Alligator mississippiensis: one gene and its partners. The protein of the gene in region 1 interacts with the protein of each later gene in a pairwise test. Links are inferred from orthologs where the notes say so. Each region holds a gene or a part of one and is shown in the gene's direction. Other genes may lie near its edges.

Region 1 (8,087 bases):
AGGTGAGGTATCAGATGAAGAGCAGACCACCACAACACAAAGACCTCAATGGTGGAGTAGCTGGATGCAGAAGACATACTTCTCAACAGTTGTGAAGGTGGATGAACGTTGCAATAGAGGAGTAATCTCAGTTGTCTTGGATCCCCTTGCCACTGCACACAGATTTCTCCTTTGCCAAGATTCATGTGGTTGACGATGCGGAATGGCACCTCACATAAAACATGTCATGTGCAGGCTTTTCCCAAGGGTGCAACACGTACTAAAATTCCCCTCCACAGACTACCACCTTGACAGAGTGGAGAGGCTTGTGTGTACTGGTGAGTGACCCTCTCCTTTCCCCATTCCCCTGCTGGGATATGCCCACCTATTATATTTTGTCTTGGAGCAGGAACTCTACTATTTCTTGGGTGAATACCACCAAAGCATTTGTAAGGCTATTTTCAACCCCCCTATAAACACATAATTAACACATTTCTAAGAATTATATGAACACATATTTCAGTAGATACAATTAGCATATAAACACTTAAAATAAGTGACAATGATCATGTTATATAGATGATCTTTTTTAATTAAAGTCTGGATGTGAATTGCTCCTAGGATACTGGTGTTAAAGTTGTCCTATATAGGATTATAAAAACAATCTTTTTAGATGTTTTAAATTCAATTTCTAATGTCACCTGAGCCTTTTATTTCATGAGACAGCAATGTTTTCCAAAATGACAATTTCAAGGCAAATGTAGGGAGCCAGATTCTCTGTTTCATTAAAGTTAAGTTAAGGGCAACTTTAACCTATGTCAGCTGGCATTGGTTCCCAAAAGACTGCCTGCTAGCTGAGCACAATTGGAAAGGGGTGAACTCCTGCTCTCCATCTCTCCTTGCCTCCTATCCTGTGCCAGAGACTATATGGAGGCAGTATGAGAGCCAATAGTGCCAGCTGCTGCCGGAATAGCTGAAGAATCCACTCCCTAGGCCACATGAAGTGGAGCAAAGAATGTTCCTCGTGATTCCCAGGCGTACCAGCATTGTATTTATTTACAAACCATTACAGAACTTGGTTTATACAGGGACATATGCCATATTGGTACTTAATAGCCTCACTCTTTGCAAAGATTTTATATATATATATTAGTGAACCATGATCTTGGCTTCATATTTAAGTCTGAGTTTATCTTTTCTATTGAAGTGATGTATTCTTTTCTGTTACTGAGGTGCATAAAATTGGGCCTGATACCAATTAAGAGCTGGAATAAGTGGAAAACATCCAAGTAAATACCAGAATTGTGAAGGAGTGAAATGAGTCCTTTCTGTAAGATGGGGACTATCTAATATATCTTTGGATCTGACAGTTTTAATACCACTTCAGACTTTCCACATGGTCACATCTCCTTGACAGCTCAGGTACATGCTTGCTTATAATTCTTATTAACTACTTATGTGAAGAAACCAGGGTGTAGTTATTATCAAATTGTTATACTTACAGTGGTAATGGACTGTAATGTTGTAGCATAAACTACAGTTCCCATAAGGCTGTTGGGGAAGAAAGGAAGCAAAGGAGAGCTAGGACTGCAGTGAAACAGCTTGGGAAAGGCAGCAGCTGGAGAGACTCATGGCAGAGGCTAAAAGCAGTAGCAAAGCTGAATCTGCAAGCCACCACAGCCAGGCTCAGGAGTAGAGCTTGGGGAGACAGTAGTGTTCTGTGGGAGCAAAGACTGGTTTGCAGCTCCCTCTGGAGTTGAGGGAGGGTCTAAAGCAGGGATTGGCAATCCCTGGCACATGTGCATCATGAAGGCATTTTGCTTGGCATGTGTACCTCGGGGCAGACAGCAGGGAAGGGGCCAGAGCTGCACTGCCACAACAAGGATAAGGTCCCTTGCAGCTGCCCTTCTGTCAGCTTGGAGACGCACATGCACCCACCACCAGCCATAAGCTAGACTGGGGCTCTGCAGGCCTCAGTACAACAGCTTGCAACTTTGCAGTTGCCTGCTGCAAGCAGCCCAGGCTCCATGGCGGGTGGCAGGAGCCTGCTCAGAACCCAGATTGGCTGTGGCAAGCAGCTGGGAGACTGCAAGTCGCTGCACAGAGGTCTGTGGAGCCCTGGCCTGGCTTGTTGCTGGCGGTGGGTGCATGCATGCCTCCAGACGGACAGCAGGGAAAGGGATGGGGCTGTGAGGCCACAACTAGGATCAGGCCCCTCACATCTCCCTTGCTGCCCGTCTCTGGTATGCTAACATCTTAGAAGCTGAAGTTGGGGTCTTTTTGCCATGCTTCCCAAAAATGTTACTGACTCCTGGTCTGAAATTTCTTCAGCATATATACAATGTTGTTAATGTTCCCTATCTGTTACCTTGCTATCTGCCCCTGAATGGTTTCACAGCTAAGTCACTGTTTGTTACCTGCTATGTATATCCTGAATATTTACCCTAATGTGTATCCACCTGTGGTTTTCTCCATCTCTTTAGCCCATTGGCCTGTGACCCTAAGCCCCAGCATCACCTATATAAAACTGAAACCCCTCCATTTTGGCTTCCTGTTTCAATTTCTGGGGCTCTGGAATTCAGTACACAGTCAAGCTCTTGTCAATACCTCAAGTCATTGCTAAGTGGTGGCATGTGACATCAGAAGTAACTCACACCATATCTTTCTCTCCATATCATTTATCTTGTGCAATTCTATCAGTTGAGATTCATTATAGAACAAAAGGCCTGTATGTGTTAAGAGATCTTAGTGGATTCTCTTCACACACAAACAAAAGGAAACAGATTGGCTCAGGTAGTTGCATAAATCTTTCCATTTGTTTACATGTAAGTTAAAATATGACCAATCTAAGAAAACCTTGTAAATGAAGGACAAGTATTTTTTTGTCTGAAATATAATATGCGAGTCTGAGTGTACTTGCACACCAATCATTCATAGCTATAAAGCCTGGTAGGATAAAAAAAACCTATAAGTATAAAAAAACCCTAATTTAATACAAAAAATGTTATCTCCATCAATATATAAAAAGGCAACCAAGCTCTCAATTCAAAATGTTCAATGGTCAGCTCCATGTTCTGCAAACTCCTTAAAGTGTCTTTGATCCACTAATAACAAATCTTACAGCAAAAGGAATGAGTCTGAAAGTGCTTGATTGCATAAGTAATAGTTTGCAGGGCTGTTCTTCTGTTGGGGATTTTTTTTGACAATGTATGGAAACTCTTGCTGCGTCAGCACTAGTGTGCTGAATGGCTCAGACAAATCCATTTGGTAACACCCTGTAGATCCTATAATTGTGATTGTTTCAAAGTCATCTGAGATTGCAAGTCATTGTCCTTTCTGTTCAGAGTTAGTTTCCTTGTTCTCTGTGATCAAAGTAGGTATTATAAGCACTGCATGGAGATGTTTATGAGAACAAAAACTAATTTTTCTTGACTGACATTTTTTTGACTTGTTAAAACACATTTTTTCTCCTCATGCATACAAACCTTCACACTTGAGTCCAAAATGAGTTCACAGCATCCTTTAAAAAAGTTAACTCAAGATATACTTTTTAAATATCATAAAAGAAAAGGATTTGAGATTAAACAGTCCCCTTGTTAGCACCACTCCTGTGCATCACGCCGTAACAACCTACCGAGACAGAACAAATCTCCTTTAGAACATTTTTGACCACCTCTAATATTGTACAGTTTCGGCCCTAAAGCTGAGTGGAGCCCTGCCACCGCGCAGAGCTGCAGGGGGCAGTGGAGACTTCACAGGTCTGACCACAAAGATGTAGGTTTGGCGTCTTCCTGAGGTGCATGCAGCCTGCCCGCCACTCGCTGCACCAGACCTCCGCTACCTCTCAGCTTTGGGGGAAGGGACTCAAGTCCTATTTGCATCTCAGATCCCATTTTTGCTTTTCAGAGCAGCTGACGTCCTCCCCGCTCCTCTTATTCCATGACAAATTCTTATAAGTTTTGACCCCGAGTCAAAAAGACACTGAAATGCTACTGTCGGCGTGATGCAGACAGGTACAGATACGAAGTGCAAACAGCGAGACCTCTTGGTTCAGCAATGATACCAATGATAGTTGGTACCAGACCAGCGATATACAGAATGCTACTTTTGCGATTCCCTAGTTGGTCTATCTAATACAAGGCATCATTGGTGTATCAAGAGATCTAGATGTTTGCCTTTCCTTTTGTCTCAGACCAACACGGCTACCAAACCAAATTCACCCCAGTACAGATCCAGCACTTGGCCTCAAGCCCTTGCTCTAGCACAGCCGCAGCAACAACCCCGGCTTGTGCGGCCAGTACCCCCTGAAACTCACTATGACGTCATGCCAGCGCTGGCTGTGCCCGCCTCGGGTGAGGGCTTGTTTCAGCCCCGCCCCCCGGCCAACATGGCGGCGGGGAGGAGTAGAGAGGAGGCGGGGACCGTCCCGGCGCGCGGCCTCTCTAGCCCGCTGGCGGCTCACGCTCGGTGGCAGCCGCCCGGCAGTCCCCCAATGGGGACGGAGGAGGAGGGCGGAATTGCCCGGCATGCCGCGCGCTGGGTCCATCACTTCCCGCCCAGGGGCTAAGATGGCGACTCCCATGCACCGACTCATCGCTCGGCGGCAGGCGTGAGTGCGCGGGGCAGGGACGGGGCCCGAGGGGCGGCGGGATCCCCCGGCCCGAGGGCTTCGCCCCGACCCTCTGTACATCGGGGCGGGGGTGGTGAAGTGGTCCCGGGGCCTGGAGCTGACATATCAGAGCTGGGGAAGGAGTGGGTTCAGGTGACGCCCGGGCTGGCTCTCAGGCGCCCCCTCCCCCTTTTACTCTTCCCCTCCCCCTTTAAGGTGCCGTGCTTGTTTGTTTGGACACAAGCATCAGCCCTGGAGGGTGGTGGCTGACAGCACCAGGCTGCTCAGGGCTGAAATCCGAGGAGGTGTCAGTCGGGTTAGGATTGTGCTGCTTGTTGCTAAGGTCAGGGGGGTAATTAAGGTCCAAGAGGGAGGCCTTGATGAGGGTTTGGCACTCCCGCCCTTCCTGGGAGGACGCACCTGACGAGTCCATGGTTTGCCAAACCCGTGCTGGGGACGTAAGACACGCTCCTGTTTTCACGTTGAAAAGGGCAAGGGTTTCTGAGGCTGAGATTTTTGTATTAGACTGACAGGGTTCCCACCAAGTTGAAAAAGGCACCTTGCACTCGTAGAGAAGCACAAAGATAAAGTTTAAATGTCCACTGAAAATCGTGCCGATCACGTTGCAGTACCTTGCTCACAGTAGCGTACAGGTTTCCCTCCCCAACCACGGTTTTGAGTATCCATGCTTAATATGCTATATACCATTTTGGCTACCATGGTATACAGTTTTGAGTAACCGTGGCTTTCCACGGCCGTGTGTCAGCCCGCCACCTGCCATTTTTCTCATAACCTTTTTGTCTTGCCAACCATGGGAACTTCCAGGAACCCAACCCCAGCAGCTGGTGAAGGAAACCTGCATTTCAAAATGGTTTTGGTGTTTGCTAAAGGGAAAAGAAAAAAAAAAAAAGCTAAACTTCGGCTATGTAAATAGAGGAAATGTATCATAATTTACATAGGATTTCACTGTAGTGTTTAGGAGTCCATTCCTGGGGGGTCACTTTTATATATTTTTGGTGTTGTAGGGTCTGGATAGTGTGATAGCATTTGTTGCATTTGCATCTTATTGTTAAGTTTACATTTGGATTTCCCCCACTTCTTTTTAATTGGAAAATTACAATTCTTAACTGTCTCTGTAATAGTTATCTTAATTTCCTCTTTATTTTTGGCTTGGGACATAGTTTCTTTCCTTCAACTCATCCTTTCACATGCTGTTCATGAGTGCTTTTTGTATTGTGCTCTGTGTCTTCCCAGTTTTCAGTTAGTTTGTGGTTGTTGATCTAGTGCTTGGTAAGAGTTTTGCTAGGTCTTGTGCACTTGTGTGGGAGCTTTTTACTGTTAGGGCTGGGTTTAGAAATGTGTATGGCCATCTTACTATGTTTGATCAGTCCTTCTCAGCAATTAGTATATTGTTCTCAAGTCTTGATCCTATAATTGCATAGTGTGTGGAATTATTTCTGGATCAGAAGATGAGTGGCCTTGAAAGATGGCATGTTACTATGTTGACATTTGATTATATTACCTTGTCCTCTAGTGAATACAGATATGTGCTGGTTTGACACTTGACACCAATAGTTGAATATTTGTGTTTGTATGTAGTTTGAGAGGCCATATCCTTCTAATTCTGCTCTTGTAGAGTAATTGTGGCAGAAGCACAAGTCTGTAGCCACTAGAAACTCCTTAGTATTTTGGTGTCGATTTGTTGTGACTCTTTCCCTTGTAACGCTTCTAAACCAGCACAAATTCTAATGTAGATGCTTTATAATGAGCTTGTTCAATTAGTAGCTAACGATTCCATCATTAGCTATTAGTAGCTAATGATACCATGTGGATAGTTGCTGAAGTTACTTATTTAAAAAAACAAAACCCTACCTTCTGTGAGTAAAAACTGAGACGTAGTTTGTCACAAAATAATCCCAGAAATTGACAGCGTTTTTTGGGTACCATATGTAACTGGTTACACTCAAAATGATGGGTAAGGTGTAAACTGTTCTTTGGTTGCATGGTGAAAGGAGAGACGCAAAGAAATTACAAAGAGCCATTTGAAGACTATAAAAAACACCTGCAACTTTTGCCCCTTTTGAAATATATACTGAAAATGTGCTCAGCTAATCTGATGATGTTTGAAATGCTTGATACTTTTTAGTTTGCTTAGTGAATGGCATTAATTCAGATAGTTTTAAGGGTGCTTTCAAATACTGAACTGTTTTGTAACTCTTACACTTAACATTTTGAAACATGATGGATTTAATGGCAATTTGAGTGTGTGTTTTTAGTATCTAAACTAAGGAAGTTTGAATGATTTTGACAGTGTGAGAACTGTTCTGTAGAGACCCAAGCCAACTGCCAGCTGTCATATTTGCTTCTGAGGTAAAAATACCATGTTAATTTAGAGAGGATTTTTTTTTCTTTTCCTTGGTGGAGGTAGAACAAATACAAGGCACCAAAACTTAAAATCACAGAAGCAGAAAATTAGGGTTGGAAGGGACCTCAGGAGGTCATCTAGTCCAACCCACTGCTCAAAGCAGGACCAGCCCCCACTATATCATCCCGGCCAAGGCTTTGTCTATCTGGGTCTTAAAAACCTCCAAGGATGGAGAGTCCACAACCTTTACAGGTAACCTGTTCCAGTGTTTTACTACCCTCCTAGTGAGAGAGTTCATCCTGATAATCTTAACCTAAACTTCCCTTGCTGCAACTTGAGACCATGGCTCCTTGATCTGTCATCTGCCACCACTGAGAATAGTTCAACTCCATCCTCTTTTGAACCACCCTTTAGGTAGCTGAAGGCTGCTATTACATTTCCACTCAGTCTTGTCTTCTCTAGACTAAATAAACTCAGTTCCCTCCGTCTTTCCTCAGAAGTCATGTCCCTCAGCCCCCTCACCATTTTTGAAATTCTTAGCTGTTTTTCCGATTCAGTCAGCTCAGTCTAAAGGTCAAGTTTCCTGCTATTCCTGAAAATGTTATATTTGGTTGTAAATCAATATGTTTTAATGATTATATCAACTAATGACAATGAAGTCTTCCATATTAAAATAACTATAAAGTACAAATAAAAAGCAGGATTAAAACTACTTTAAACCATGTATGTCTGCTTGATTTAAATCAGTCCACCATTTTGTTTTGCATAGTAAGAAAACCAAATTGCTGTTACCTTCTATTTAAAAAAAAAAAATAAAACAAACAAACAAAAATATATATAGTGGAAATCTGTCCCTAGAAGAGTGGCTGAGAGCATTTTTTAAACAAAATGGCTTTTTGTCAAAATGGAAACGTTTTGTGAGAACGTATCAGTGTTAAAGGGTTCCTTAGTCCCAGCAGATGAAGACTGGGGAAAAGACCCAATGCAGAGCAGCCAGGATCCTGTGTAAAGGCAGTCACTTAGGACCCAGTTGGACAGAGGAAAGGGACTTGAACCTGTCTGTGTGTCTTAGCAGTGTCCTAACTCAGGCTATTGGCTTCTCTGAGATCAGGCTCTGCTGTTCACATTTATTGG
Region 2 (7,774 bases), on another chromosome or scaffold:
GCTCTAGCATGGAGGAGGCTGGTGTTACCATAAGCAGAAATGCTCTGGCTTGGTGCTACCATAAGTAGAAATGCCTTCAGGCTGTGTTGAGCTGGGCTGCGGACTGGGGAGATCATCAGCATGTCTGATTTAATGCATCTTTGTTGGGCAACAGTGTCTGCATGTCTCTGACTATGCCTAAGGAAATTGGGGGATTTCTGTTCCTCAAGGATTTCTCCTTGCTTGGCAAGCTGGCTTTGATGGATGCCTTGCTCTGTTCCCTGTGCTGAGCTGGGGATGCAGCTCTTAGGGCAAGACCAGCCAATCAAGCCTCGCACCGGGCAGCTAGCATGGCTATGAGGCATATACCACCTGGGGTCTTCCAGCAACACCCCAATGCTTGTCCTTGCCTGTAGAAGAGCCTCCAATCCAGGGGAAATACTTGGATCTGCCCAGAGAAAGTGGAGAGGTGAGTATTTGTCAGGATGCACCACTTCTTGGAAGAGGCCAAATTGGTGAGTTAGGATTGAATAACCCCCTAACAAACATGAGAAGCTTGGGCTGTTCAAGGAAGTGTTTGGTGCTGTGCAGGTGATGAAGGAGGGAGAAGGCTGGGGGCACTAACACTTTCATATTGTCTGTACCCCAGGGAGGGTGTATACCGCGTCATCAGAACCTGCTGTGTTATTGCCTGCATCCAAGCCCCTGTTCTCCTGGGCTCCCACACCTGGATCACCCTTGCTGGGCACGCTGGGCCCCCTCGCTCCCATGTAATGCCACGTTGGAGAGGTACTGTTGGATTTTATGAGCTGTGGGGAGAGGTGGGGGGCCACCAGAGGTCTGGCCGATGGTTCTCGCTGCCATGGCCATGTCAGACTAATGCACTTGATGTAGTCATGTGAAATAAACAGTATTTTTCTTTTTTCAACCCCCCCCTTGTCTTTAATTGGTGAGAATCTGCCTGAAGTTTGTATGGTCAGTGAATGGGTTTTGGGCAGGGTGAGAAGGGGGGCAGGAACGGGGCGCACAAGGCAATGACACTAACATGGGGAGAAGTGGGCATGCTGGAGGAGAGGGACAGGCTACAACTAGATCTAGACAAATTACAGGGGTGGGTGGATGAGAACAGGATGGGGTTCAACACTGACAAGTGCAAGGTGCTGCACCTGGGGGGGGAAGAACCAGCGGCATACCTACAGGCTGGGGAACTCCCTTCTCATCAGTGCAGAGGCAGAAAAGGATCTTGGAGTCATTATTGATGCCAAAATGAACATGGGCTGACAGTGTGGGGACGTGGTCAGGAAGGCCAACCACACCTTGTCATGCATCCACAGATGCATCTCGAGCAGGTCCAAGGAGGTGATCCTCCCCCTCTACACAGCACTGATCAGGCCGCAGTTGGAGTATTGTGTCCAGTTCTGGTCGCCGCACTTCAGAAGGGATGTGGCCAGCATTAATAGGGTCCAGAGGAGGGCCACCCGCATGATCAGGGGGCGGCAGGGCAGGCCCTACAAGGAGAGGTTAAGGGACCTGAACCTGTTCAGCCTTCACAAGAGAAGGCTGAGAGGGGATCTGGAGGACATCTACAAACTGGCCAAGGGGGACCAGCAGGCAATGGAGAGTCCCTGCTCCCCCGAGCAGTACCGGGAGTAACAAGGAATAATCGCCATAAGTTGATTGAAAGTAGGTTCAGGTTCAGGCGCTACTTCACAGTTAGGGTGGCTAGGATCTGGAACCAACTTCCAAGGGAAGTGGTGCTGGCTCCTACCCTGGGGGTCTTCAAAAGGAGGCTGGATAATCACCTAGCTGGGGTCATTTGACCCCACTACTCTTTCCTGCCCATGGCAGGGGGTCAGACTTGATGAGCTGCTCAGGTCCCTTCTGACCCTAACATCTATGAAACTATGAATGGCCATCCTGGAGCAGCATTCCCTGCTTCTGCCATGGTGAAGCAGTGGGCTCAGGCCAGGAGGGAGGGATTCTCAGCTCAGCTCATCCCAGATCCTCCTGGCCTGGTCAAGGAGTCCTCCAGGAAGCCAGTGGGTTCAGTGAACCCTGGGTAGATTCCCTCCTCTCTATTATCTTCCTATTCCCCCCCCTCCCCCCCCCCCAGCATAACTCTTGCAAGGGACAGGCACCGCTTCGTATTAAAACCTCTGGTGATCTAAATATGACCTCGGGAAGCATGGCTGCTTCTGCCAAAAGGCACTAGAGAGCCCCAAAAGGCCTCACAAGGGGCAGGATCCAGATGTGCTGGGTGGTGGATGTGGAGCGGGATCCAGATGTGCAAGGTGGTAGACTTAGGGCAGGATCCAGGTGTGCAAGCTGGTAGACTTGGGGCAGGATCCAGATGTGCCAATTCTTCGACTTGGAGCAGGATCCAGATGTGCCAGTTGTTTGACTTGGAGCAGGATCCAGATGTGCCAGATAGTGGATCTGGAGCGGGATCCAGATGTGCTAGGTGGTGTATTTGGAGCAGGATCCAGGTGTGCAAGCTGGTAGACTTGGGGCAGGATCCAGATGTGCCGGGCAGTGGATTTGGAGCAGGATCCAGATGTACCGGTTGTTCGACTTGGAGCAGGATCCAGATGTGCCAGATGATGGATCTGGAGCAGGATCCAGATGTGCTGGGCGGTCGATCTGAAGCAGGATCCAGATGTGCCAGTTGTTCGACTTGGAGCAGGATCCAGATGTGCTGGATGGTAGACTTGGAGCAGGATCCAGATGTGCTGGTTGTTTGACTTGAAGCAGGATCCAGATGTGCCAGATGGTGGATCCGGAGCAGGATCCAGATGTGCCGGGTGGTCGGTCCAGAGCAGGATCCAAATGTGCCGCTTGTTTGACTTGGAGCAGGATCCAGATGTGCCGGGTGGTGGATTTGGAGCAGGATCCAGATGTGCTGGCAGTCAATCTGGAGCAGGATCCAGATGTGCCGGGCGGTCGATCTGGAGCAGGATCTGGACGTGCTGGGTTATTGACTTGGATCCAGATGTGCTGGCTGGCGGCAGTGGTAGATTTGCAAAAGTGCACCCAACTCGCGGCCCCGCTGGGATAAAACGGTGATCTGAAAACTATTTCCATCTGTTTCCACGACTGTCTTCGGCTTTCAGGGACCCGATGCCGGGCGCCGCGTGCCCCGCAGCGGCCGGCGCTGCCGAAGCATCCCGCGCGCACCCAGACACCTGCTGCGCCCCCCAGGCCAGACTGGACCCCCCACCCCCAGGTCGGGCTGGGACTGCAGAGCAGGGTTCGCCACCAGATGGCATCCTGGTCCACATCCTTTTTGCAAGGTGGTGAGAAAAATGACCCCCCCCCCCCCCCAAAAAAAAAAAAAAAAAAAAATTCAGAGCTTGCTAAATTTAGGAGCCCGGATGATTTTCGAGGCTGGCGGGAAGGAGGGTTGCACGGACCGGTGCTCTCCAGGCAGGAGGGAGGCAGAGATCAGGCCTGTTTTTTTAATCCCCAAATCATCAGGGTTTAATTCTGTAAGGGGGGGGGAGCTTTTTGGGTGCTGGGAGACAGGCAGCCACAAAGGGAGGGATGCGCACTGCACACGGGCAGCATCTGCACGTGCACAGGTTGGCAATGCCCTCCCGCTGCGGCCAGGCGCGTGAAGGGTTAACACCCCGGGGCGGGGCCGGACTCGAACTCGCGGCTCCAAGGGAGGGGGGAGGAGGCCGAACCTGGTCCCCACCACGCCGAGTCCCGTCACCCCGCCGGCCCCGCCCCGCCCCGCGCTCGTAGCCAATCGCGGCGCGGCTCCCCCGGGCCGCGGCCCCCAGAGGAGCGGCGATTGGCCGGCGCCGCGTGCGCGTCGGGCGGCCAGGGGCGTCGCCATTGGCCGCGGGCGGAAGACGGGGGCGGGGCGTGTTCCCGGCCGGGCTGGCGTGGGGGGTCCGCGACGCTGCCGCCTCCATATTGCGGGGGCCGCCGGGGGCGCCGAGCTGCGCCCGGGGCCTCGCGGGGAACGGGCGCTCCGGGGGCCGGGCTTGTGGTAGGAAGGGAATTGGGCCCTGGGGTGCGAGGGGTTAATTTCCATGGGAGGAAAGACTGGGCCGTGGGGTGTGAGGGGTTAACTTCCCTAGGAGGGGGGGTGTGAGGGGTTAAATTTCCTGGGAGGAAAGACTGGGCCTCAGGGTGCGAGGGGTTAACGTCCCCTGAGGGTGACGGGGTGTGAGGGGTTAAAATCCGTGGGGGTGGGGGGTGCCGGGGGGCTAATATCCCTTGCAGGGGCGGGGCGGGGCGGGGCGGGAGCAAGGCTGGGGTGCTGGGAGCCCCGCTTGTTGGGCAGGACAGCGCCCCCGGAACGCCCTCAGGGGTGGTGGTAGCGGTGGGGCCGGGGTCCCCCCCCCCCCGGGTCACGTGCCTTGGGACTAGGGGGGCGTCTGCGGGGTGGCCGGCCCCGTGGGGGCTCGCTGTGCGCTGACCCCCCGGAGCGGCCAGGATGGCGTGGGCCCTGAAGCTGCCGCTGGCGGACGAGGTGATCGAGTCGGGGCTGGTGCAGGATTTCGATGCCAGCCTCTCGGGCATCGGGCAGGAGCTGGGCGCCGGGGCCTACAGCATGAGGTAGGGAGACCGCCCCGCGGCGCTGCGAAGGGAGCCCCGTTGGGGACTGGCGCGTGGCGGGGCGTCGTGGGAGGGCGCGGGGCGCGTCCGTGGGTGCCAGTGACTCGTGGCTGAGCTGCGTGGGCGCGAGCGCCGTATCCCGTTGCCGCGTGGTAGGTGACTCCTTCTCCTCTGCCTGGTGCCCGGCGTTTATTGGCACCCCTCGAGGGCAGTTGGACCTGCTCCTCCCTCCTCCCAAGCGAAAGGAAAGGGAGGTCAATTTAGGATACTCCAGCGCTGCACAGACCTAGAACTGGGACCCGGCGCCGGGAAGCCCTGCGCTGCCCTCGGCACGAGGCTGGTGTGGGAGACTCCAGGGTTTTTAACAACCTGGGTGAGTAATTTGTCCGAAGGCAAAGTGGTGTAACGGTGCCGCCTGCTTCGGCGTTGCGTAAACCTGAGAGCCGGGAACTGGACTCCGTCTGTCTCTCCTGGTGCTGCCTCTGGAAGCAGCAGGGATTTGGCCACAGCTGGAGACAGGTGACGGAGCTGGGCTGAGGGGACGTGGAGGCTCCTTAATTCCCAGGCATCCGCTGGGCTGCTGATCCCATGCAGAGCGGCTGATGCCACATCAACGAGTCCACCTGGAAGCGTCATCCTGCCCTAATGAGTTGCCCCTGGGAGAGGGGGAAGTGAAGAAGCCCCTTTTGAGTGCTGTGCTATGATTTGAATGCAGACCTTAGCTTCAGACCTGGCCTCCCCGCGCTGTGGGTTAGGGAGGAGTTCGAGTCGTTGCCGAAGGGTGATAAAGTGCGTAATTCGTGCTTGTTTTGTGGTCACCAGTGTTTGGGGCCTTTGTGTGATAGGTGCCGTACTGGGAGAGGTGTGCGTCAAAAGAGTTGTATGTGTTGCTGACCCATCCAGGGCATGCTCTCCTCTGGTCCCAGCGGCACAGGCTTTCAGCACTGGAGACCCTTGGTTTGGTGCAGGATGGTGACAGTCACGCTTGTAGTCCGAGAAGGTGCGGGGCATAGGCAGAGTCAGGGGGAGCGATAAATAGCCAGTAGGTGCGATTTTTATGGCTCGTACGTATTGATAATTCCCTTCCACCACTACCCCAACTAATAGAAAGTGCCACCTGTTTCCCTCCAGCTTGCTTGTTTCCTGTGGATCTTCTGGCTTCCAGGAAAGGGATCAAGGAGACCAGGTAGCAGGTCAGGGAAGCAGCACTTGCCCTGCAAAGCGTGTGGGGATCTACTTGAGAAGAGGGGGTGAGAGCTCAGAGTCGCCAGGCGTGAGGGGGAATGCAGAAGGAGGGCCGCATGAGACTGACTTTGGCTTGGGAAGGAGCATGTGGCAGTGAGGGGGAATAGAGAGGAAGCAGGGCCTTGCAGGTAGGGGGAATCGGCTGCTTGAACTATACCTTGCGTTGGAATGGCGTGGGGAGCCAGCGGGGGAGTTGTGTTGAAGGGAAGATCCAGTCGGTTTGCACTTTGGTTTGCTCACAACAGTTCCTGCCCAGCTGAGGTGAAATCAGAATAAAACTTGCTTGAAATAAAGGGAGGGGGAAGTCCGAGATGACTCCTTGATTACACACCCGAGTGATGAGAAGGCTCTGGAAGCAGTGGTGGGGGCAGGATCCGGAGTTCAGCCACAGAAAGCTGGTGCTGACATAGAGATGTCTGAGATATGGGCCAAGATGAGATGGGTCAGGGCTGGAGGAGCAGATCTGAGTCATTCATGCTAAGATGGCAGCGGAGGCATGGGTGGAGGAGACAGCCCTAACCTTTTTTTGCCCTCACAGTCACGTAATTCCATGCAACTCCATTCATGCAGTTATTGCTGTTCACGTGTCCGTCGTTCACGGAGAATTTACCGCAACTTGGCCGCTCCGTGTTACCTCCCTGCCCCCAGCCTTGTCCCATGGTGAGGCCTAAACTAGTTGTCCCCAAATAAAACAGGGCCACATTACTGGGTTTAGCACTTGCTCACCGTGAGATAATTGTGAGCACGGGGGCAGCTGAGTGTGGTTAAACCCCCAGTTTTGTGTAAGTGAGGGGCACAAGAGGTAAGCGTGGGCTCTGGGGGATTAAGGGCAGATGAGACTGGAGGGGCAGGGGGGCATTCCCCAGTGAGACCCTCCTCTGGACAAGCTGTTGGGAGCCTTCCCGGTCTTGACTGGGCTGTAGTGATAACCATCCCCAGAGGGAAAGTCTGTGGTGGATATCGCTTTTTCCCACCATGACATTTCCCGGGGGTGGATGCCACCGTTCCCAAGGCGCTAATGCTTTACATGCAGTGCGTTGGCCTTTCCCGCACTCTCCAGTCAACAGGGAGCATAGAGCAGCGGTATTTCCTGTTTCTTTCCCTCTCCATGAGGGACAGGCAGTGTGAAATGGCAGCTCTTTATTATATGGGCATGATCCCTCATTTAAACTGGTGCCAGGGATAATTAAGGCTTCTCCCACTTATTTCTGACTGTCTCTCTGCCCTGTGACTGTAGCATCTCACATGCTGGCCTCTGACCCATGGCCAAGGCTTGTAGGCGTAGGGACCCCTGTTAAGAATCTGGGCTCTGCTGAGCCAAGTGCTACAGAGATCGGTTTCCTGCCCCAAGAAGCAGTTAGAGACTGATATTGGTGGGGGGATTCCAGCTTCTCTGTTTGGCTTGTGATGCTTGAGGAAAAGGTCCAAGTCCTAACTAACCCTTCAGTTATATCAGCTTGTCCAGACTCTTGCAACCTGAGCTGCCTGCTGTTCTTCAGTGCTTGGAGGAAGAGCAGTAAAAGAGAGAAGATGACTCCAGTTGAGGCTTGAGGGGCAGAAGAAGGAAACAGGGAAAGCTACTTTATGTGATGGGGCTTCTGGAAGAGACTACTCCCACTGCTCCCTGTCCCAGCACCCAGGAAGGGGACAGGTCTGTGGAGCTGATGGGAGCAGAGGGAAGAGACCAGGGCTCTGTTATTGGCTTGGGCTGCTGACTTGCAGTGCAACCCTATGCCTGTCTCCTCTTCAAAGTGCCTTGTTTATTCAGGTGATAAACTGTCAGGTGGGGGTTTGTGCCATGCCAGACATGCTGGCTGGCATTTGTAGGCACCATCACAATACTGCTGTGGCAGTGACACCTCTTCCTTTGGAGTCTCCAGTGGCTTTCTCTCTGCTCAATCACAAATAGGCCATTGCCATATATTTCTGTCATCACATTATTTGAGTCATGTCATGTGTAAGGATCTTTTTGGAGTAGATTGTC
Region 3 (7,070 bases), on another chromosome or scaffold:
GGACCGGTGCTGGGAGCTTCCCCTGACCAATGCCCTAGCCTAACCCCTAGTGCTGAAAGCTTTCCCCCAGCAGTGCCCTGGATTAGACGGGGTCTGTGCCCACAGGTCCTGCAGACCGGGCGCTTCTCAATGGTGTGGCGTGGCTCCCTGCGGGGGGTGCCCGTGGTGATCAAGGCCTTCCCTGCCGCTAGTGACCAGCACTTCGCAGCTGAGTGGGGTGTCCTGAGCCGGCCTCTCATGAACCATGACAACCTGGTCCAGCTCCTGGAGGCCAGGCGGGGGGACGGGCCCAGTAGGCGAGGTGGGCTGCTGGTCATGCCGCTCTATGCCCAAGTGAGTCGCAGCCTCAAGGCTGGTATTTGGGTTGTATGGGGTGTTGGAGCAGGGGGGCAGCTCTTGGGACCTAGGGTTGGTGGCCTGGGTCTGTCCCATCCATCCATCGTGCAGATGAGAGCTCAGTACAGGGGGTTGGGGGCAAGGCTGGGGTTGCAGGGGCGGGATGCGGGGGTCAGCAGGTGTGGGGGGCCAGGCTGCATAGCAGGGGGCTGGAGGCCTCTAGGCACCTGGGAGCCAGGACACCTGGCTTGGAGGGGACAGGGCCTCATGGCCAGAGCAGGAGGCTTGAAGCCAGGACACCTGGGTTCTCATCCCATCTAGGGTGGGAGCAGAGGCAGTGGTTAGAGCATGGGCTTTGATGCTGGGACTCCTGGGTTCCTCCTTCAGCACACGGAAGGTGGGGGGAGCAGGGGTGTCTCCGGGTGGGGGGCTCTGTCGGACCTGAGAGCTTCGTATGGGGCAGACAGGGCGGGCGAGCAGGCAGGGGGGAAGTGACAGAGAACAGAGGGGGGTCCCAGGCCCTGCCAGTCCCTGGAGGCTAGGAGCAAGAGGGGTCCATCCACCCCCGTCCATCTGTCCATCCGCAGGGCTCCCTGCGGTACTTCCTGGGTCAACATGCCAGCCCCTGGGAGGGCACCGTGCGCCTGGCGCTGTCGCTGGCCTGCGGCCTGGCCTTCCTCCATGATGAGCTGTGGCGCGATGGTGAGACCCCCTCCACCTGCCTGCCCAGCCCCCATGCACCGAGCTTGGCTGACCTGGGGGGTCTCTGCCATGCCCCCCTTCCCCTGGGTGGGGGACTTCTGGCACCCCACTCACCACCCCCCCCCCCCCATTCCCCTGCACGCCCCAGGGTTATACAAGCCAAGCGTGGCCCACCGGGACCTGAGCAGCCAGAATGTGCTGGTGCGGGACGACGGGGCCTGCACCATCGCCGACTTTGGGCTGGCTATAGTGCTGCCCACCAGCCCCGAGGCCTGGCCCAGGGACCGCTCGCCCACCGCCATCAGGAAGGTACCGGGGCTGGCAGAGGGGCCGGGGGGGTGGGACAGGGAGGAGCCCACGTGCAAGCCATAGCACTAGTGCGTGCAAGCTGTGATCCAGAGCTGCAAACATGGGCACCAGTGGGTGCAAATCTCAGCCCAGGCATGTGCACACATGGATACTTGCATGTGCCAGCCTCACAGCCGGGGTAGAGCTGCATGTGAGTCCTGGCCCCAGGATGCACCAGAAGTGACCCCTGGTGCGTATGAGCCTTGTTACTGGGGTGTGCCAGGCTGGTACTTGTGTGTGCAACTTTCAACCCAGCCATGTCCAAATGTGGGCATGCCATGTGTGTGGGGCTGGGCATGTGCATGGGTAAGTGGCTGAGACGTGTGGGTCTGTATTCTTGAGCATGTGGCTAGTGTGTGTGCGCGTACTTGTGTGTGCATGTGCTCATGAGTGTGTGTACTCACTTGTGCATGTGCTCATGTATGCATGTGCTCGCAAGTGCCTGGGATGTGCATGTGTTCACGAGAGCCTGACACGTGCGTGTGCTCATATCTGCATGTGCTCATGAGAGCCTGGCATGTCCATGCACTTACATGTGTACACGCTCATGAGAGCCTGACGCATGTGTGTGTGCACTCACGTGCACATGTGCTCACGAGAACCTGCGTGTGTGCATGACAGCCCGTATGTGCATGATCTCACATGCGTGCGCACTCACAAGAGACTGGCATGCCCAGACACTTATATACACACATCCCGGCACTTACAAGTGTATGTGCTCATGAGAGCCCAGTGCATGTGTGCGCTCATGCGCGCGTGCTCCGGCAGCTGGGGACACAGCGATACATGGCCCCCGAGATCCTGGACGAGAGCCTGGACCTGCGGCGCTGGGGCTGCGCGCTGAAGCAGGCCGACGTCTATGCGTTTGCCCTGGTGCTCTGGGAGATCCTCATGCGCTGCCCTGCGCTCTTCCCAGGTGAGGGCCCCGGGTTCAAGCCTCCAATTTGCACCGGGGCACAGGCCCCAGAGGAAACTGGGGACACCAGGGGAAACTGAGGCAGGTGGGGACAGGCACCAGGGGAACAGCACCCAGACTCACCCCTTGCCCCCCCAGCCCGGGGGGTGCAGTCAGGACCAGTGGGGGTGGGGGGCACAGGACAGTGAGACTGCGGGGGGGGAGGGGGAGGAGCCCCTGAGTTGGGAGCAGGGGGCATTGCCCAGCCTGGGGGTCATCTAGGGCTGGGCAGCCCCAGGGCTGCTTTACATAGCATCGTGCCCCCCCACTCCCCGAGCACCTAGGCCATGCCCGTAATGAAGTGGACTGTGACATTAGCAGATCTCAGGGGGTACGTACAGTGCCCAGGGTGGGGCTGGTGGGAGAATCGGCTCCTTCCCTTGGCTGTGCCCCCCCAGGCTGCAGCGTCCCTGAGTTTCGGCTGGCCTACGAGGCGGAGCTGGGCAGCAGCCCCAGCCCCATGGCGCTGCGGAGGCTGGCGGTGGAGCAGCAGCGGAGGCCAGCCATCCCCCAGGCCTGGATGGGCACCAGAGGGGTAAGGGGAACAAGGGGGGGGGTACAGGGGCTACACCCCCCCATTGCAAGGTTGAGACCCAGGGAGGCCCCTGATGCCCCCCTCTCCTCTGCCAGGTCCCCGGCTGCCTGCAGGAGCTGCTGGAGGACTGCTGGGACCCCGACCCCGAGGCCCGGCTGACGGCCAAGTGCGCCCACCAGCGCCTGCAGCAGCTGGGGCCGGAGCCTCCCTTAGGGGGGCCCTGAGCCAGCCGGGCGCGGTTCCTTATTTCCAGTTCCCTTTTCACTGCTCATCCTTGCCACCTTGAGGACGGCGGCAATGACCGGAGCAAGCTGAAGGCTCCGGGTTTCATCCCCGACGCGCCTTTGCTAATAAAAGTGTGTGATCAAGTCACCCAGCGAGTGCCCCAGCTTGAATGAAGGGCTGAGACTGCCCCCGGGCCCCAGCACCCGGGTTGGAGCCCCCCGAGTGGGCACCTGCAGAGACCCAGTGGCCCCAGCGCTGTCGGGAGCAATGAATTCATTGGTGCTCAGATGAGCCGGGCAGGGCCTGGTGTTGCCCCCTGCGCCCCCCAGGCCTGGCAGGGGAAACTGCCAGGGCCCCCAAGGGAAGCTGAGGCAGGCGGGAGCAGAGACCGGGGAAACTGAGGCAGGCAGTGTGGACCCCGGGGGGAAACTGAGGCAGGTGGGGGCAGACACCAGGGGAAACTGAGGCAGGCGGGGGGGACACCAGGGGAAACTGAGGCAGGCAGCGGCGGATACCGGGGAAAAAGGCAGGCAGGGGAGGACCCCAGGGGAAACTGGGGCAGGCGGGGGAGGACCCCAGGGGAAACTGAGGCAGGCGGGGGGGACACCAGGGGAAACAGGCAGGCGGGGGAGGACCCCAGGGGAAACTGGGGCAGGCGGGGGAGGACCCCAGGGGAAACAGGCAGGCGGGGGGGACACCAGGGGAAACTGGGGCAGGCGGGGGAGGACCCCAGGGGAAACTGAGGCAGGCGGGGGCAGATCCCGGGGGAAACAGGCAGGCGGGGGCAGACCCCAGGGGAAACAGGCAGGCAGGGGGGACACCAGGGGAAACTGAGGCAGGCAGCGGCGGATACCAGGGGAAACTGAGGCAGGCGGGGGCAGACCCCAGGGGAAACAGGCAGGCGGGGGAGGACACCAGGGGAAACTGAGGCAGGCGGGGGAGGACACCAGGGGAACCTGAGGCGGGGGGGGCAGACCCTGGGGGAAACAGGCAGGAAGGGGGGACACCAGGGGAAACTGAAGCAGGCAGTGGCGGACACCAGGGGAAGCTGAGGCAGGCGGGGGAGGACACCAGGGGAAACTGAGGCAGGCGGGGGAGGACACCAGGGGAAACTGAGGCAGGCGGGGGGGGGCAACAGGGGAAACTGAGGCAGGCGGGGTGGACACCAGGGGAAACTGAGGCAGGCGGGGGAGGACACCAGGGGAAACTGAGGCAGGCGGGGGGGGGCAACAGGGGAAACTGAGGCAGGCGGGGTGGACACCAGGGGAAACTGAGGCAGGCGGGGGAGGACACCAGGGGAAACTGAGGCAGGCGGTGCGGACTCCGTGGTAAACTGAGGCAGGTGGCGATGGACCCTGGGGGAAACTGAGGCAGGCGGTGCGGAGCCCGGGGACCGGGCAGGCGGGGGCGGCTCCTCGCCGGGGCGCGGCTGACCCCGGGTGTCCGAGCTCCCCCCCCACTAAAGCCCGCACGTCGCGGCGATCCCCCCCGCCCCTGGAGCCGCTCTAACCATTGGACGGCGCTGCCGGAGCGGGGCCGGCGGCTCCTGCCCCTTTAACACCCCGGGGGCGGGCCCTGCGGGGGGGCGGAGGCCGCTCCCTGTCCCGGTGCGGAGGCGACGGCGGTAGCGCTCTGCTGCGGCCATGTGGGACCCCAGCGCAGGTGGGAGGCCGGGCCGGGGCCGGGGCCGGGGCCGGGCGCGGGGCAGCGGGCGGTGGCCCCGATCGCCCCTTGCACGCTCACTGCAGCTCTGCTTCCCTTGCAGGCCAGCCCGGCCCCGCCTACCCCCCCGGATCGGGCCCCGCCTACCCCCCGGGGCCAAACCCGGCTTACCCCCCGGGGCCAAACCCCGCTTACCCCCCGGGATCCATCCCAGCTCCCCCCCTGGGGCCAAATCCCACCTACCCCCAGGGCCCGATGCCCCCCAGCTCCTACCCCATGCCCCCCGGCCCCGGCCAGCCCCCCTACCTGCCAGGCCAGCCAGTGCCTCCCCCCTACCCCGGGGGCCCTTACCCCCCGATGTGCCCCGGGGTGCCGGCGGGGATGGGCATTGTCGCCCCCCTGGTGCCCGGGGCCCCTGCGCTGGATAAGAAGGCGGCGAAGAAGATGAAGAAGAAGATGAAGAAGGCGCACAAGGGGCACAAGCCACACAAGCTGCACGGGAAGGTGAGGGGGGGTCCTGGGGCCAACCCAGCCTGGGATTGACCCCCACGGGGTGGGGGAGCTGCCTCTTCCTAAACGCTGGGTCCAGCCCAGCCGGGCGGTGGGGTGTCTCGTGAACGGAGTTGGAGGGGTCTCAGCCCAGCTGCCGCCAGGGGTTTCTCCCCCCTGCCCCCTTGCATGCCCATGGGAGCGCCCAGGGCACAGTGGGGCCTGGCCTTCCCGCCCATGAGCCTCACGCCCGGGTTCTTCCTCCCCGCAGCGCTCCTCCTCCTCATCCTCCAGCAGCTCCTCCGACTGAGCCCGCCCGCCCGCCGCAGCTTGCCAGGAGATGCAACCTTTGCCCGCCTGCGGAAGCCAAGCCCCTGGATCATCCCACTCCCTGAGGCCCCAGGCCGAGGCCCTGCCGCGCTGGGATCAGGGCTAAAAGCAGGCGCCAGGCACCAGAGCCAGGATCCGGCCGGGATCTGGGGTGATCCACTCAATCCCTGGTGGCCTCAGCAACCTGGGGCCTGCTCACAAGCCAGAAGGAAATCCAGACCCCCCCCTCCCCCAGCCAATCCCTTCCTCCCTGCACTGTGTAGCTTCACCCGATTGGCTGCTTTGATGCTGGGGGAGGGGGGTGTTATGGATTGGCCAAGGGGATCTTTTTAGGGGTCCCAGTGGGGGGAATTGACCAATCCCAGGCTCGCTCTTGTGATCTAGTGCAGCCTGGACGCTGCCTACCTCACGGTCAGGACTGGGCAGGACAAGGCCCTGCCTGGTCCTCAGCCCCAGACCTGCACTGGGGGCGACTGGGTGGGGGCGCGAGCTCCCTCCGGGCTCCGCAGCGCTTGCCTTGCACTCGCCTTTCAATAAAGCCTCTTGGTTTCAACCCCCCCACTGGTATCAGACCCTCTGTGGCGCCGGTGGCTTCCCAGAATCCTTTGTAGCCAGTGTCCAGGGCCGGGGGGGCTCATGGTCAGCGGAGCCCCTGACCCATGGGGTGCACCGGACCCCCGCTGTGGGCTGGGCTGTGTTGTGGGATCAGCACCTCCTGGTGCATGCGACTGTCCTATTCTGGAGCACTGGCTTTGCCTTGAAATCCCCAGCACCTGGAGTCCCGTGAGCCGGGGAAAGGAGCAGATCCAGCCCAACTGAGCTCGGGCTGCAGCAAGGAGGCGGGCAGGTGGTGGGGCCAGACCCAGGTACCCGCAAGGCCAACCTGCCGCTGGTGTAACCCAGGAGGGGCTGTGACCCCGCTGTCAGGTGGGGTTGGGAGGTGCCTGCTCTGCCCACTGCTGGCCCTCACCTGCTAATTTATTTCAGCAGGAACATGCAGCTCTTCTGGGGTGGGGGCTGGCGTTGGCCGCAGAGGCCGGGCTGCAGCCATACCCACTGCACAGGGTAGGACGGGGAGCGCCAGCTGCAGGAGTCCGGGAGAGGAGAGGAGCCCTGTGGTCCGTGAGTGCAAGGTGTTGTACAAAGCCCTGCACTGCTGAGCGTGGCCATATCCACAGGTTGGGTCTCCCCAGTGGCATCCAGACCCCTGAGCCAGGTACATCCATGACATCCGGGTTGAGGGGCTTCTCAGGAGGCCAAAAACAGGCTGGCCGAGCAGGGCACTGCCTGGTGCCGGCCCCTGAGGACCCGCTGAGTGGGGGCTGGATAGGACCAGCAGTCTTGCCTCAGCCTGCCTCAGTGCCGCCCAAAATGACTCCCTTTCCTCGCCCATCCCAGGCAGGGCTTAGGCCATATGGACCAGCCTGTAAAGCTTCTGGGACTGGCTGAGGGTTGCACTGTCACTATGCCCACCTCCATTATGAATGA
Region 4 (8,526 bases), on another chromosome or scaffold:
TTGAGAACTCGTGTAATCATCCTAAACTTCTGACGGAAAGTTAAAGCTCTGTAGCAAGGCAGTCTTAGAAAAAAAAAAATTCTTAAATCAATACCGAGGGGAGGGAGAGAGACATTGCCAGATCATACAGATCTACACACATACACACACACTTTTGGAAAGAAAAAAGTACGAATCTGGCTTTCCCAAGCTCTGAATGAACATATTAAATCACCATAGCCTATTTCTTGAGGCAGCATATCTGCAGGGAAATAAAGTTGAATTTCTTTTGTAAACAGGAACGCCTTTAGTCCTGAAATCTCTGCAGATTTCTCCCGTTCTTCAATAAAACTCTTTTTTTTCTAAGAAAGAAAGAAAGAAAGCGAGCCCCCCTCCACACAAAGACCCTTCCTTTGCAATGCAGGATCCTCCCTGGAAGTTGGCTCACGGAGTGAAACACCCGCGGTACAAAACAGCCTTGTGCTAGTGCAACATAAATATACCTTAACAAGACGTCTAGAGCCCAGCGTCCTTCCTTTCCAGGCATCAATAAATAAGCAGCAACCTTCAGCCTAGGTCCCGAACAGCTCTTTTGTCAACAGCCCCTCCTAACCTCTGCGCCCAGGGCCTCCCCGCGCCCCGAAAGGCGTGGGGCGAGGAGCGGACAGCTCTCCCCGGGGGGCTCCCGCTGCTGTGGGCAGCCGGGCCGGGCCGGGTCTTTCTCGTCCTGGCTCGGGCCCCTCAGCAGGCGCTGGTCTCGGGCGCGGCGGCGGCGGCGGGCTCGGCGGGGCCCTCGGCGGGAGGCGCTGAGGCGGAGGCGTTGATGTGGCAGCCGCTGGAGAGGTGGCTGCGGACGCGGCCCTGCAGCTGGCTGACCTGGGCGCGCAGGAGGCTGGCGGTGGCGGCCAGCTCCGCGTTCTGCCCCTTCAGCGCCTTCACCTTCTCCTCCAGCCGCGCGATGCGCTCCAGCTTGCGGCGCCGGCACTTGGAGGCCGCGATGCGGTTCCGCAGCCGCTTGCGCTCCGCCTTCAGCCGCTCCTGGCTCTCGGCGTCCAGCGGCGACAGTGGCGGCGGCGTCCCCGCGCCCCCCGCCTCGGCCGGCGGCGCCTGCACCTCAGGCACGGTCTGCGGCTCCTCCGGGGCCCGCGCCGGCAGCCTCCCGGCCCCGGCCAGCGCCGGCGAGAAGGGCAGGCCGGGCGGCGCGGGCGGGTAGGAGCCGCCTGAGGGGCTGAGCGGCCCGGCGGGGTTGTAGCTGCCGAGGTTGGTGTAGACGGCGGGCGGGTCGGCGGCGGCGGCGGCGGGGGGAGGCGGCGCGGGCCGCGCGGCGCAGCAGGGCCCGGGCGGCGACAGCGGCGCGCCCAGCAGTTGGTTCTGCTTGTGCAGGTCGGCCAGCGCCTTCACGAACCCGTCCACGAAGCCCTCCTGCTCCTGCGTCACCTGCTGCCGGTACAGGAAGGGCCCCGCGGCGGCGGCGGTGGGGCCGGGGCTGGCGGGGCCGGCGCCTTGGATCAGCAGCTGCTCCAGGTCGGCGGCGGGCGGCAGCTTGAGCAGGGGCAGCTCGGCCGGGGCGCCCGGCGCCACCAGCGCCGCCTCCGGGCCGCCCCGGGGCCCCGCGCCCGGCGGGGGGGCGGCGGCGGGGAGCAGGCGCAGGGCAGCGGCGGAGCGGGCTCCGACCCCGGCCCCGGCCGGCCGCAGCGCGAAGGGCCCCGGCAGCGGCGCGGGGGAGGCGGCAGCCAGGTCCCGCTTCTTCCCAGCGCCCAGCAGCAGCTTGTGCGCGGCCGCCGCCTCCGCGCCCGGGCCGCCGGCGCCGAAGCCGTGCAGCGGCACGAAGTCGGGCAGCAGCTCCAGCCCCTCCTCGGGGTAGAAGGGCGCCTCCATCTTCACGCCCGCCCTCCCGCCGCCGCCGCTCATCGTGGCCGCTGAAGGGACCCCGACCCCCCGCGGGGGCCGGGGCCGGGGCTGTGCGCTCGGCCGCGGGGCGGGTCGCCTCGGCCCGGCGCGCGGGGCCAGCGGAGCCGGAGCCGCCTGCGCGGGGCTGGCGGGCGGCAGCGAGAGCCCCGGCAGGGGCGGGGCGGCGCCGGGCCCGGCCCTCGCACGCGGCTCCGCGTCTGCCGCGTCGGCGGCACCCACCCCGCCGCCTCGGCGAGCCCAGGAGAGAGCTGGCTTGGCGCCCGCGGCACACGAGGAAGGCGAGCGGAGGGGCGACGGGGCCTGGAAGGAGGAAGCGAGCGCGCTGCCCCCGCCCGAGGGCGCCCGGGGCTCAGCTTGCTCGGGCCAGGCCCGGAAACCTTTGGCAAGCCTTCACCTGTGGGGAGTGGGTTAAGAAACTTCTCAGTGATGGGTTTTTTTCCTGTGAGAAAATGCAGGTTTGTGAGTTTTGTTTTGGGGGGAGGGGGTTCTTTTACAAATGTTTCTGACTGCAGCTGGTTGGACTGCCCCATCTGGGCGTTTTCAAACTTCAACAGTTTTGTTTTTCAGCTCCCAACATTTGGAGACTCTGGCCTTTTGTCCTCACTGGGGACACACGAAGCGGAGCCCCCAGGTAACTGCTGGGTGGGACAGCTGGATTCTGTCGAGTTCTGCTGACAGAGTCTTGTTCAGGGATTTCAAAGCCATTGGCAACACGTAGGGGGTGCACACAGGTGCACATACACCCCGAGGGTGGTGGTGCACCCCGACAAAAGGTGCCACAGATAGTGTTGGCTGCCACTCGCCACCCTTCCTTGCCACCGACGCTGCCGGTGGCGTCTGCGGGCAATCCACAATTGCCACTGGCCGCTGCCACCAGTGTCTGCAGGTAGTTGCCGACCACTGGTTGGCACTTGCCACCCTCCTCCCCACCACCTCTGGGAGCTCACCATGCCTCCAGGGGCAGGCAGTGTTCATGCTTAAAGCCATCATGTTAAAGGTGACAGCTCATCTTGACGTGTTCCCTTTAGCTCACTGAGTGAGTGACCATCAGGGCGTGCTATAACTAATCCACAAATAATAGAGCAGTGCTCCCTGTGAGTTCTCCACCTGTTCTCCTGTCACAAGACCCCCCCCCCCCCCCCAGGACATCTGTTCATCCTTTCTCCCAACACAGGGGTGTTCAACTGGCTCTGGCCCTTGGAGCCAGGGCTTCCCAGGGGTTTGGAAATTTGGTAGTAGTGGCAGCATTAACTGTTGCTCCCCTGCTGCCAAATTCCTGGGACATGTGGGGAGCCTGCAGGCTGGATAGTGTGGTTCTGTGTGCTAGATCAGGTGCACAGGGCTAGGCTGGCACTGGGCACTGGAGCCTGACCTTGGCATCAACACTGCAAGGCATCTCGCCCACAGACCAGCTTCAGGCCACTCATCTGACCCACAGGGCCAAAAAGTCATCCATCACTACCCTTGGACACTTTCACTCATTGTCTCAGGACCAGGCTCCCTTTCTGCCCAGGCACCCGCCTGCTCAGCCTGTCTGCACCCACATTGCTCATGCTCACCTGCATGCTGCTCAGTGGTATTGGGCTATGGTGCTGTGCCTCCTGGCTCTGCTCCAAAATCAACTGGAAGGGAAGAGGCTGACAAGCAAGGAGCCCTCTGCCTGACTTGCCAAATGGTTTTCCTCTTCACCCAACATTACATAAAGGAGCATTCCTTTAGGGGCTGCAAGAGTCAAAGAGTCTGAGGAAAAATTTTCTAGTCAGCAGCAGTAGTTTGGGTCAGCATGTTATACCCCAGCCTCCTGCTACCTGCAGTAGTCTGCCTTAATGCTGGGCAGCAGCTGGGTATCACCCTTTGTAGCTCATCTTAGGGAGTACTCTAGGGAAGGGTAGCTAAATGAGACTCAGAATAGAAAGAGGATGAGAGACCTTGAGAAACAGGAAGTATGACAGGTATTAACAGAGAAATGAGAGCTTGAGGGGGCTGGAGTAAGGAGGGTCATTGTGAGTTTCTGAGAAAATGTAGGGGAAAAGGGATATTAGGAAAGGCACTGCGAGGTGGGGACACCTTGGAGTGGTACCTGGAAAGCAGATATCTAGGGAAGCAGAAAGACCAGCAAGAATTGGCTGGGGGACTTTCAAGAAATACAGGATTAGAGAATTGGAGGCTTGATAGAGAAAAGTGCAAAGGAAAACAGAAGAAAACAGGTCTGGCAGAGACCAGGGAGATTGTGGGGCTTTAGGGAAACTGGTGCTTACGGCAGGGAAGATGCAGGTTTTGTGGGGAAAAGAAACAGTGGGTTATGGAAGAATTTTGAGGATACACATCAAATTACGTTACCAAGGACGTTAGTTTCTCCTGAAAGATCAATCGTATTGATATTCTGGAGAAAGAGGGTGAGCCTATAGACACAATGAGAACTGGTATCCCAAAAGGTAGTCCAGGTCCAAACAAGCAGGCTACCACGTTCCATCTACATAAAGTGGGAGGCACTAAGTCACATCACCAGTCTCTTAAAGCCCAGCAGGTGTGGCAGGGCTGTCCCAGAAAACTACTAGTTACCTCCTCAACAGGGAAGAGTTGTATCACAGACAGAGCTGATTTGAGACAGACCCTTACAAGTAAATCCTGGGCTAGGAAGTAGCTGAATTTTCCTTCCGCAGAGGGCATTAGAGATGGACCTCTGCCATTCATCCTAACAAGCTACTGCTGGTCATTGCTACATTAAAAATGCTTCCCACCACAATCTGAAGATCTAAGCTGTTGGAGTGGGAATCCCACCAATGAAAGAGCAGAGACCTCCCCCCAATAAAAACAACAGAGATGCTTATTTTAAACCATGTTGTCTATCTTATTTAGATTTGTTACTGGGGTCTGCTGAAATTTGTTCTTGAGTTGCTGTTGGGTGAATGGAATAGACACATAGGTTCTTCACATTCCCAATTTCAATAGTACAGTATACTAATATTGTCACAAGTTGTTATTTTTTAAAGTAGTGCCCAGATTTTGTAGAGTACAGGCAGTCCTCAGACTTAGGACACAATTGGTTCCTGAAAAAAGCGTCTTAAGTCGAAACATGGTAACTCGGAACTAATTTTCCCATAGGAAACAATGTTATAAATGGGGGATCAGTTCCTGAACCAAGGCCTGATACCCTATTTTCACCCAAAATAACCCAGAATTTTGTACTCAATCAATTATAGATGAATAATGTAGCTACATTAATGTGTTTATATTGTAAACAGCAATCATATTGATTTGGAAGAACTTATTTGAGGTGACTTTGCTTGGACTTTTTGAAGGGCGCTTGGCTGGAGTCTTCTCAGGAGTCCTGGCTGCAGGTTTTTCTGGTGTCTTGTCTGCTTTGTTAAAGAAAATGTCCAGGGAAGTTTGGACAGATGTTCTCCAGGGAGATGGGCGATGCAGCAAACTTTTTTGCTCGCGTGGGGTTGAATCAAGTGTTGTAAAGTTGAAACTGATGTCAGAAAGTGGAAAGTGTCAATTTATAAACGTAAGTGCCATTCGTTGCAACTCCAAACATCTCAAAGTCGAGGACTACCTGTATTCAGTCAAGCCAGAATGACAATCCCTGGAAACTGTGGAAGTCAAGGCTTGAAAAACTGACCCTTCACTTGAAGCCCGAAGGGAACATCTCCCCCAAAACCCAGGGCAATACTTCGGTGAGAATATCCAGTTTTACTCCCTGCAGCCGGGTCTCCTCGCAGGAGCCCGCCCCTGCAACACGCCCGGGGCTTTCGAGGCTCGCACCCACCTCGCTCTAGGACAGCAATACTCAAAGCCTACTCCCAATTCACACGCGGAAGCATCTCCACTGTGTGCCCTGCAGCTCATCGCAGAACATGTCATTGCAGTGCAGCCCCGTGCCCTCCTTTACCAGCTGACCGTAGGAAGGAGCTAGTGTCCCCCTTCCCGCGTAAGCTGCAGCACTCAGATCGGCGAGCTAGGAGCAGCTGGGCAGCAGCTACCACCAGGGCAGGAATGCGACGCTCGACAATAAGGCACCCGCTCGCGCTCCACGTGCACGGCTGCCCCCCCCGCGGGGCGGGGCGGGGCGGGGCGGGGCAGAGGCCGAGAGGCGCGAGCCGGACGCGTGGGGGCAGGGTCCCGCTATAGGCAGGGGGCGGGGCCATTACAGCCAGCGTCCTCTCTGAGCCTCTGCTGCTACTGGCTGGGAGATCGGAAAGGTCCCGCCCACGCGCGAGGAAAGAACCAATGGAGAAATGCGACTGGGAGCTCTCGCGAGAGTTTCCTTGAAGCTGGCGCCGCCATCTTGGAGTTGGGAGAGGCCGCGTCCTGTTTATGTCGCTCCTAGGGGGTCGCTGAGGGGGGATGGGCGCCGGGCACTGAGCTAGCGGGGCCTATGCGTCCGCCGCGCCCCCGGGCCGAAGCATCGCCGGCACGGGCGGCCCCGGGGCGACAGGATGGTGCAGTCCTGCTCTGCCTACCGCTGCCGGAACCGATACGACAAAGAGAAGCCCATTTCCTTCCACAAGTGAGCGCGAGCGGTGCGGGGGGCGGGGCCAGTGCGCAGCTCCGCGCGCGCCCGGTGGCCGGGGGGAGGGGGCGCGCGGCGGCGGTTGGGGGCGGGGCCTGTCACCTCCAGGAGCCTCGGGTGCGCGCGCAGCCCCACGTGGAGGCGGGACGGACCTCGCGTGAGGGGTGTTGGGCGGCCCCTGGCAGCCGCACTAAGCATGCCTCTCGGCCACAAGGTGGGGGGGAGTGTGACCCCACCCATGCACTATGGTCAGGCGAGTCAACTTCTGCCTACACATGCATGCGTATATGCATGTCTATATACATGTCTGTATGTATGTACATATGTGCACGTGCCTATGGATGTGTGTATGTATATCTGATGCCGTTAGTCTATAGAGGTGCATCTCTAGCCTACCCTCTGGTGCTCTTTGGCAGGTGGTGGTAGCCTGCGTGTCATGAATACCTATGCACGCCTGCATTTAGGTCTCTGAAATCCATGTGCCTCAAACGAGGCCCAGCATGTGGCCCAATTGATGTCCCCTGTTGGTGCCTGGAGCCAGCTGCTGGGACAAGCGGCTGGCCGGCGAGTCAAGTAGTGGCGGCGCACATAGTAGTGTCCAACATGTGCTGCCATGCTCGCATGTAACGAGAGTCCCAACAGGAAGCTGACAGTGCCTCTTGGTTGCAGGTTTCCTCTCACAAGGCCTGATCTCTGTAAGAAATGGGAAACCGCTGTGAAAAGGAAAAATTTCAAGCCAACAAAGTACAGCAGCATTTGCTCAGAACACTTCACTCCTGATTGCTTTAAAAGGGAGTGTAACAATAAGCTCCTGAAAGAGAACGCCGTGCCCACAATATTCTGTTACACTGAACCCAGTGAAAAGGTAACCATGAAAACTCCTCTTTAAGGAGTGACTGACACAAATTTACATATGTAGATATATAATGCATGCTTTTTTTTTTTTTTTTTTTTTTTTTTTTTAACCTCAAGAAGGAGAACTGTGGGAAGGAGACTGTTCCCTGTGCATGATCATAGTTTTGGTCAACTTATAAGCAGGGATCCTGGTTTTCCATTATAACCCCCCCCCAATTCTCTGATAAATTGTAAATTCTCTGATAAAAATCCCAAAATCTGTGGTTAAAATTAAATGCCCTCCACATCCCCCCCACAGCCCTGCTGGTGTCTCTCACTCCTGTCCCCCAGTCCTGCTTGTGCCCCTGTCCCACAGCCCTGCTGGAAGAGCCCACAGCTGCTAGGGCTATGGGGCCAGGGACCCAGGTCCACAGCCCCCAGCGGAAGGCAGCAGTTGCTACAGTAGGAGCATGAGCCAGCTCCCCCCACTGCTGCCTGCCTGCCTTGGGCAGGGCTAGCTCCCCATGGCAGCGTGCAGTCCTGGGAGCCAGGGGGGACCCATGCCCCCCAGATCTGTGGGGGGTGGGGACAGGGCGGGTCTGCGCTGCCCCCATGTACACAGAGGAAGTGTGGCCAGGGCAGAATGGAGCTTGCAGCAGCAGGCAGCTTTCTTGTGTGGCCCTACTGTGCCCTGCCGTGCCAGTTGCACACGCTGCGCTCCGGAGGGCCTGGGGGAGGGAAGCAGGGTAGGGAGCACAGCATTTCTGACACTCAGTCTGCAGCTGGCCGGCACTCCAGCTGGGGTAGGGAGGGGCGTGTTCAGTCTCCCTGCTCCCGGTCGGAGTGCCTGGCCAGCTGCAAACCTCACCTCCTGGCTAGGGAGTACCTAGCTGGGGGCTGAGGGAGTGTGGAGGTTTGCAGTCGACTGGGCACTCCAGTTTGCAGCTGGCCAAGCACTCTGGCCAGGAGTGGGGAGGCTGCAAACTTCACCCCAGCCGGAGTGCCCAGCTGGCTGCAAACCTCCCTGTTCCCTCAGCCCCTACCCAGCTTTCCCCCCCAGCCTTGTCGTGCAACCCCCAAGCTCCACTTACCTCCAGCAAGAATAGTGAGCCTGAAGCAGCCTCTGGTAAGACTTGATGTCAGGACCTGCCCTTGCCCCTCTCCCTTCCCCTCCGGGCAGGGTTGAGGGTTTCCCACCCCTTTTGCAGACAGCTCTTGCAGGCTGGAACTCAGGCAGCCTACAGAGCTCTTTGCAAAAGGGAGAAATCCATGGGTTTCTCTTCTAA

What was found.
Region 2: the proteins of ZCCHC10 (region 1) and TFCP2 interact in binary tests that used the Homo sapiens proteins (3 or more experiments, as listed by UniProt). The two-hybrid records come from large-scale screens. The link is inferred for Alligator mississippiensis from reciprocal best matches to the Homo sapiens genes ZCCHC10 and TFCP2.
Region 3: the proteins of ZCCHC10 (region 1) and PRR13 interact in binary tests that used the Homo sapiens proteins (3 or more experiments, as listed by UniProt). The two-hybrid records come from large-scale screens. The link is inferred for Alligator mississippiensis from reciprocal best matches to the Homo sapiens genes ZCCHC10 and PRR13.
Region 4: the proteins of ZCCHC10 (region 1) and THAP1 interact in binary tests that used the Homo sapiens proteins (3 or more experiments, as listed by UniProt). The two-hybrid records come from large-scale screens. The link is inferred for Alligator mississippiensis from reciprocal best matches to the Homo sapiens genes ZCCHC10 and THAP1.

Annotation. Positions count from the first base shown.
Region 1 is NC_081832.1:66,931,286-66,939,372, forward strand, and holds the start of ZCCHC10 (zinc finger CCHC domain-containing protein 10), read left to right. Parts: upstream 1-4,457; 5' UTR 4,458-4,505; coding exon 4,506-4,588; intron 4,589-8,087.
Region 2 is NC_081838.1:10,252,468-10,260,241, forward strand, and holds the start of TFCP2 (alpha-globin transcription factor CP2), read left to right. Parts: upstream 1-4,227; 5' UTR 4,228-4,423; coding exon 4,424-4,545; intron 4,546-7,774.
Region 3 is NC_081838.1:8,754,673-8,761,742, reverse strand, and holds PRR13 (proline-rich protein 13), read left to right. Parts: upstream 1-4,556; 5' UTR 4,557-4,744; coding exon 4,745-4,763; intron 4,764-4,866; coding exon 4,867-5,267; intron 5,268-5,523; coding exon 5,524-5,562; 3' UTR 5,563-6,139; downstream 6,140-7,070. Other genes in the region: AMHR2 (anti-Muellerian hormone type-2 receptor), read left to right, coding at 106-333, 924-1,038, 1,187-1,347, 2,155-2,302, 2,740-2,876, 2,972-3,100. UniProt on the Homo sapiens protein: Negatively regulates TSP1 expression at the level of transcription. This down-regulation was shown to reduce taxane-induced apoptosis.
Region 4 is NC_081826.1:155,713,808-155,722,333, reverse strand, and holds the start of THAP1 (THAP domain-containing protein 1), read left to right. Parts: upstream 1-5,198; 5' UTR 5,199-6,271; coding exon of another isoform or gene 6,272-6,332; coding exon 6,333-6,403; intron 6,404-7,075; coding exon 7,076-7,271; intron 7,272-8,526. Other genes in the region: transcription factor JunD-like, read right to left, coding at 721-1,890. UniProt on the Homo sapiens protein: DNA-binding transcription regulator that regulates endothelial cell proliferation and G1/S cell-cycle progression.